2 linked regions of the Saccharomyces cerevisiae S288C genome follow. The protein of the gene in region 1 purifies or fractionates together with the protein of each later gene. This does not show direct contact. Each region holds a gene or a part of one and is shown in the gene's direction. Other genes may lie near its edges.

Evidence for each region.
Region 2: the proteins of AIF1 (region 1) and CBP3 purify together in Saccharomyces cerevisiae (affinity purification with mass spectrometry, with the first as the bait; one large-scale study listed by BioGRID). This does not show direct contact.

Annotation. Positions count from the first base shown.
Region 1 is NC_001146.8:776,930-780,503, reverse strand, and holds AIF1 (Aif1p), read left to right. Parts: upstream 1-1,765; coding exon 1,766-2,902; downstream 2,903-3,574. Other genes in the region: COS10 (Cos10p), read right to left, coding at 1-588. UniProt on the Saccharomyces cerevisiae protein: Putative FAD-dependent oxidoreductase involved in the resistance to cercosporin and other singlet oxygen-generating photosensitizers. Translocates from mitochondria to the nucleus under apoptotic conditions, where it degrades DNA and induces apoptosis.
Region 2 is NC_001148.4:145,451-148,923, forward strand, and holds CBP3 (Cbp3p), read left to right. Parts: upstream 1-1,965; coding exon 1,966-2,973; downstream 2,974-3,473. Other genes in the region: YPL216W (uncharacterized protein), read left to right, coding at 1-1,679; THI6 (bifunctional hydroxyethylthiazole kinase/thiamine-phosphate diphosphorylase), read right to left, coding at 3,119-3,473. UniProt on the Saccharomyces cerevisiae protein: Chaperone required for the assembly of ubiquinol-cytochrome c reductase of the mitochondrial respiratory chain.

The DNA of each region.
Region 1 (3,574 bases):
ATGGATCAACCTCCACTGTGCGTTTACTTTTGTAAAATAAACCTGCACCGCGTCTTCGGTGTAAGGGACCAAAATCTCAATTGAACTGAACCTAGGATCTTCGTTTTGTCTCCTCAAAACAGCTGGCTCTAGAATGGTTTTCCTGAATGCTTCTTGGCAGTCAGTACCATTAAAAAAAAAATGTGCAGTTTTCCATGCTTTGTTTTCATACAAGTAGGAATTGAAATGTATTGCAACAGCGTCCCAATCAGCAGAGTATGCACCTGGTGCACTTTTGATGATTTCTTTAGAAAGCTGGGTGAGTTGATTTGATAAAGTATATTTACTGTACTGTATTTGAACTACTGGCAAAATAGCAATTAGCGCCAGGATTAGAACTACTGAAGTCAGAAGGGGATAAAACCAAGTACTGGCCATCCCCCACCAAACGGCAAGCGGTAACCATGATAGCGACCAGATCCAAAATCCTGAGTTGCGAATCTCACTGCACAACCATGTTAAACGGTTTCTGAAAATATCCTCGGGCAAACAAAAGCTACTATGGGTCTCAAGACCTTTAGAGGACAAAAGTCTAATCTCTTCCCCCATATTCAATATAGTGTATTTCACATTAATGTTATGAGGTACGTAACAAGTTTACTGAGGTTTAATCACTCGCAGTGTTTTTTATATAATTCGCAAGATGAAATTTGTTGACAGCGCGTTCATCACGCAGCTGTTGAGTTTTATAGTTAAAGCCACGATCAAAAAAAGAGCAACAGCTTCGAGCAGTTTCGAGTGAAAGAGAATCTATGTTGGTTTATGTTCCGGAAGCACGGGAGAAATGGACTTCACTCAAGTACCCAAGTTATCACTAAAATGTAAGTCAATGTATGTTTACAGATACGAGCTGCGATGTTTTATAATACATGGTACACAATAGGTGAAGTATTGTGGCTTATTTTTGAATTATCAAACAATGTAATAGCTTTCCAAAGCATACCATATAACTCCTATGAATTAAGCGGCGGTCTCATTATAAAGTCGGGACACTTTTTGGTCAAAGCTCTCGATTAGTTTTTGAATACTGTGCAAAGTCTTTAATGATATTGTCATCAGTTCATAATCGAATTCTCTGGTACATTTTTTCTTATTTTATTGATCAATGTTAATGTCAGTTTGCTGGCTCTTGTTTTTTTTTTTTTTTTTTTTTTTTGACTGTTAGTTAAGTTGCCCAGCTAAGCTTACTCAATGAGTTAAGTATTTATTTTCATATTTTCATCATAAAATACTGCGCTATCTCGTGCCCTCGTCTCTTATACAATAGGCAGTACTTGACTAGAATCTAGGAGTGCTTTTCCTGAAACTCTCTATAATAACAACCCATCTCCCGCCGATTGTATAGTGAGCCAAGTGTTCTCATAATGGGGGTCTTGAAGAAGACTTCAATGGTGTCTCATAGTAGCAGTACTAGTAGTGCTAGGAAGATGAGCATTGTACAGCTTACTTTTCGTTATTAGTGATACATGACTGAGTGATTGTAGTTGGTAATACTGGATTAGTAATCGTTAAAAAGCGATAAAAATTAATTGAATGTCCACCCTGCATGATTAGTCCTTTTTATCTGGCTGGACAAATGAAGCCTATTATAAGTATTAATATATTAGCTGCTGCAGACTAGAAACGAAAGCAGTGATAAATCATTGATAGACACACATTTCCTCATCGTTGTTCTTCATTATTTACAGGAAAGAGCAGAGAAAGGAAGAAAGAAATTGCAAAATATATGACAATTAACACAAAGAACATAGTTGTTGTTGGTGCTGGTGTGTTTGGTGTGTCTGTGGCAAATCACTTGTACAGGGAACTGGGTGGGACATACGCAATAAAGCTCGTCACAGCATCTAATTATGTGTATTTTCTACCCTCAGCTGTCCGTTTGACGGTTTCAAAGGATTATACCAAGTCGATCCTGCCGTTAAAAAATGTTCTTGATAGTGGTATTGAAGTTATCAAAGATACGGCTGCCAGCTTTGATGATAAGGAGGTAGTTTTGGGGTCAGACAGGGCCATAAAGTTTGATATCTTGGTTCTTGCAACTGGCTCAAAGTGGGCTGATCCAATTGGTTCAACTTATACCTTCGGGGATAACTATAAAGAGTATTTTGAAAGAGAGGCTTCTCGAATCTCAGATGCAGATCACATACTTTTTCTTGGCGGTGGCTTTGTTAATTGTGAACTAGCTGGTGAATTGTTATTCAAGTATTTGGAGGAGATCAGGTCTGGCAAAAAGCGTATTTCCATTATTCATAATTCCGATAAGCTACTGCCGGACTCTGGGTTATACAACGATACCCTAAGAAAAAATGTGACAGACTATCTCTCAAAAAATGGTATTACGTTGTACTTGAACACAGTAGGGGCTTCTTTAGACACCTCGCCGAAACGTATTTTTCTAGGTGAGGGCTCATCTAAATATATAGATGCTGATTTGATTTACAGAGGCGTTGGTATTTCTCCAAATGTGCCGGTCAACAGTATTTCAGACCTTTGTGACAAGAAAGGGTTCATTCAAGTTGAAAAAAACTTCAGGGTAAAAGCTGTTGAGGCAGGAAACGTTTTTGCCATTGGTGATGTAACGAATTTTAGATATCACGGATTGGTTAAAAGAGATAATTGGGTTGATGTTTTGACCCGAAATGTTATAAGTTCTTTACAAGAAGGAACAGAGGCTAGTCTCGTTGATGCAGATTGTCTTGAGACAGGACATGCCCCAAGTGGTGTCTCCCTTGGGCCAAATGCAGGGTTTGGCCAATTTCCACTACCGTTACTTGGGACGATTAATATTCCATCGTTTTTAATTTCTAGAGCAAAGTCGAAGAATCTTTTCTCCGACAAAATGGAACCTTTATTCAAAAAATAGACTAAAATATGAACTGCAGCGTATATATATATATATATATATATATATTAGTTTCTGTATTGTGAAACAAAGAAGGCCGCTGGAAACAACAAATGTTGAACTTCGCATTCAGATAATAATCTATTAAAACCCGAAGTTACTCGAAAATGTTAGCTTTGGATTCTCACACTATATGTAGTTTCTTTGACAGTAGTAAAACGGTATTACACCTGTGCATTAGAGTTATCAATCGCTTGATAACAATTTGACATTTTGGAGGGTCCATGAAGATAGGTACTGATTTTACTCGAAGTGTGAATGTTTTATACCGAAGTTTTGTTATATAGAGATACAGATATCAACAGGATTGACCACCTTCTTTTTTAAACCTAGTATAATGGGGACGGTGAGAATTAACAGTTAAGGTATAGGCGTGATGCCATGGGAGGGGCAAATACGGAACTGGAGTAAAGTATTGTGTGGTTTAGGTGCTGGGAAAAAGAAAGCATTAGAATGCTCAATAAAACAGCGGCTTCCCGCATAATATTTTTTTGATTATTTCATTCCGAGAAAGGCCGATATATGCAGAGGCTACGTGTTGCTTGCCAACTTCAGTATACTTTGCTTGCCACTACCAGAAATTGACCCCGGGAACTTTATTTTTTAAGTGCCTAAAACTTATTTTCCTGCAGG
Region 2 (3,473 bases), on another chromosome or scaffold:
ACAATTGGACTGAAGAAAAGCGAAAGGAGGAAGGAAATAAAACAGAAATTGATATAGCTATAGAAAAGTGTTTGAACTATGGAGATACTAGCTGGGTTAAACTTTTGCACAATAAAAACTTTAGCAACGGCAATTGGTTGATCTGTCTCCTTGGAATCTTGCAACAGAATACACATATGATAGCATATAGTGATGTCGCAAAATGTATCACAAAAAAAATACTACCTTTATCCATGAATTTTGTAAATTTAGGTGATGAGCTCTGGGATAACTTTCGCAAGAGATTATCTATAAAAGATAAAATTGATGTTTTATGGGTTCTCGTAGATTTTGCGTCCAATTTCTCGAGTTATATTAAGGAGTTGGTAGATAAAGTACCAAAACTGTGCAATGGAATCCGCTTAAAGTTGGATAGTGCAAAAAAAGAGTATATCAAATTGAAACGGCAACTAAAAACGTTAACCAAAAATCGCGTGAAGCTTCACAGCAACGTTTCAATGAACCGATATGGATCAGATGAATGTAAAGGTAAGGTCAATGCCCTTAAAGTGAAAATTGCATACTTAATGGAAGATATCGCCTTCCTAGAGGCAAAATTGATTCAGAGCGATATCAAGAGACTAGAGATTTTGGGTAAAGATAGAAATGGAAATCGATATTATTGGATGGACTCAAATGGATCGTCATCAGCCATCAGTGAAAAAAATGAGGAACTTTACAACTGCTGTTTTTTGTGGGTTCAAGGACCCTCTGAAGCGGATATAAACTTTTGCTTAGATGTCGACGTCGAATCTTTGAAAAAATGGGAGTTGTTAGCTAAAGCAAAAGGTACTGCCTACGCGACAAAAGAAGTCTTTTCAATATTTAGGTCGACAGACGGGTCTTACTATCAAATTGCTCAAGGTGAGAATTTCATGATAATTAATTCAAACGGTATCTTAATGAGGCCAACTATTCCGGCATTCATAGACAAAAAAATTATATCAGAAACTCCAGAAAAGCTCCTACTCTCTCATCATCAATGGGCTTTCTTCAACGATATAGAAGATATACATATGTTAGTAGATAGGTTGGATGATTTAAGAGAAAATGAGGGACAATTGAAGAAAGCTTTGACATCCAAAATGGACCGTATTGAAGTATCATACAAGCAACAGTTCAAAATTAAAAGGCGTATTGAATGTGATGAAACCTTCAAAAAAAATCACAAACTTTTGAAAAATAACGAGTTCACGTTTCCTGAACTGAAAAGAATTGAGACAACTTGTACATCCAACGGCCAACATTTTTCCAACATGGAGAAAATTTCCAAAAAACTATCAAGGACAAAGAATGATCTCGTTTTGGAAGCGATTTTAAAAGACGTAGCTCACCTTGGAGAATGTGAAAGAGCACTTCTCAAAAAGCAACAAAATTTGATTTATCCTTTGAATTTTCATTTCGAACAATTGAGGACGATAGACCTCGAATTTATAGTTGAAACGAAAAGAAAAAGGCAAGAGGATATTCTTACGAAGCTTTTAAATCATCAGAGGTATAAGCATATTAGTCATGTTTCAGGCTATGGGATAAGTTCTCAACGAGTAGATAAAGCTGCACATCTTGATGTGCAGGGTATATTAGAGGAGATTGAATGTCAACTTATTTCAAGACGACGAGAGGATGAAGAACGCAACTAGAAACAACTCTGCAGTTCAAATCACTCTTCCTGTATACGCCTTAGAAAGATATTAGAAATATCTTTTACTATTTAATCTTCACCATTCATTATTCCTCGTATATAAATTGGCCCATTTCAGGGCGTCTGACTGGAGTTGTATTTAGGCTTTACCCGGCGTTCTTCTGAATTTATAGCCAGCAAGGAAAACAACGTCAAAATTGGTCCTCGACTGACGCATTAGTAAGATTAATATTTAGCAAACACTATGATCTCCGTAACAATCTCTTCAGCTATTCCAACACTTGATGATGTCAGTCAATAGATTTACTTCAGGTCGACTCCCTGTTTTCCTTAGAAAGTCCCCTTTTTACTACTCGAGAGCTTATTTGCATCAAACATGTGTTTTCAAGCAAAATAAAGAAACTGCACAAGATTCGCCAGAGCTTTTAGCAAAAAGCTCACATCTGAATTCGAAACCACTAGATGTAAGCAATAAAGCACCAGTGAAAACTGCTCAGAATAAAATTCCTCTAGCTCATAGTAAATATGAATCGTCAAAGTACGAACTTCCCAAATGGAAAGAAGCCTTGGGTGAACTAGTAATTCGAGCATTTCATTTAGATATGGATAGAGTGAGGGCAGGGCCCGTTGCAGGATCTTACTATTATAAAATTTGTAAAGAGCAAGGTTTACAATACGAGGACGAGCCATTATCAGAAACTGCTAAATACTTTTACGAGGATTTGAAGCTACCACGTACTTTTTCACAATGGTTTCAAATCACTGTATTGCACGAGTGGATACTTTTTGTACGTATGAGAGCCATGCCTTTCAAATACGGCAGAAACTATCAGCAGAAATTGGTAGATAGAACATTTTCTGACATTGAGCTGAGATTATTCGAGGAAATGAAAGTTAATTCTGGTAGAATCGCAGATCAATATTTGAAAGATTTCAATACGCAATTAAGAGGAGCGATATTTGCATATGATGAAGGATTTGCTACAGATGATGGTACACTTGCGACAGCTGTCTGGAGAAATCTTTTTGGTGGAAGAAAGAACATTGATATGGTTCATTTAGAGTCTGTTGTGAGATACATTTATTCTCAACTATATGTTCTAAGCAGGTTATCAGACAGAGAGTTTGCCACAGGTAAATTCAAGTTTGTTCCTCCTGGGGTGAAGGTCGAAAAACTGACACCAAAGCAAGAGGAAGAGTTGAAGGCCAAGACCATTGCAAAATATGAAGCTCTAGACAAGGATCCTAAAACCTTACCAAGCGAGAGAAGTAGGCTGTCATATACAAACTAAACGAGCTAGTTTGTAACTTCAAAACTTATGAAAACACTTATTTATTCTTCAGATACTATCCGCACAAATTCCTTAAGTTTTTTCCAATTTTTTGGGCTTTCTTCCTTATTTAATCAGTTTATAAAATCATTACGTTGTAAATAGTTTATTTGAATTTCTTCAAAGAAGCGGACCACTTTTCTGGTTTATTTTCATGGAATAATTGATATAATGCGTCAATCAATTCGACATGGAATGAACCACTTCCTTGACAACGGGTGGAAGCCAACTTACCAGCTGATTTGTATAATAGGACAGCACCAACCACAGCATCAAACAGTTTTCCAGTGGAATCTAACCCACCGATAAAGGAAGCAATTGTAGAACCAAGTGAACATCCACTTGCAGTGATGTCACCCATGATAGGAATTGGGCCATCTTCAATTATTACACATGGAAGATCTTCAGCGGTTATTCCTTCTGTTCCTGATGAAAGTTTGTATTCGCCTCCAAAAGTACCA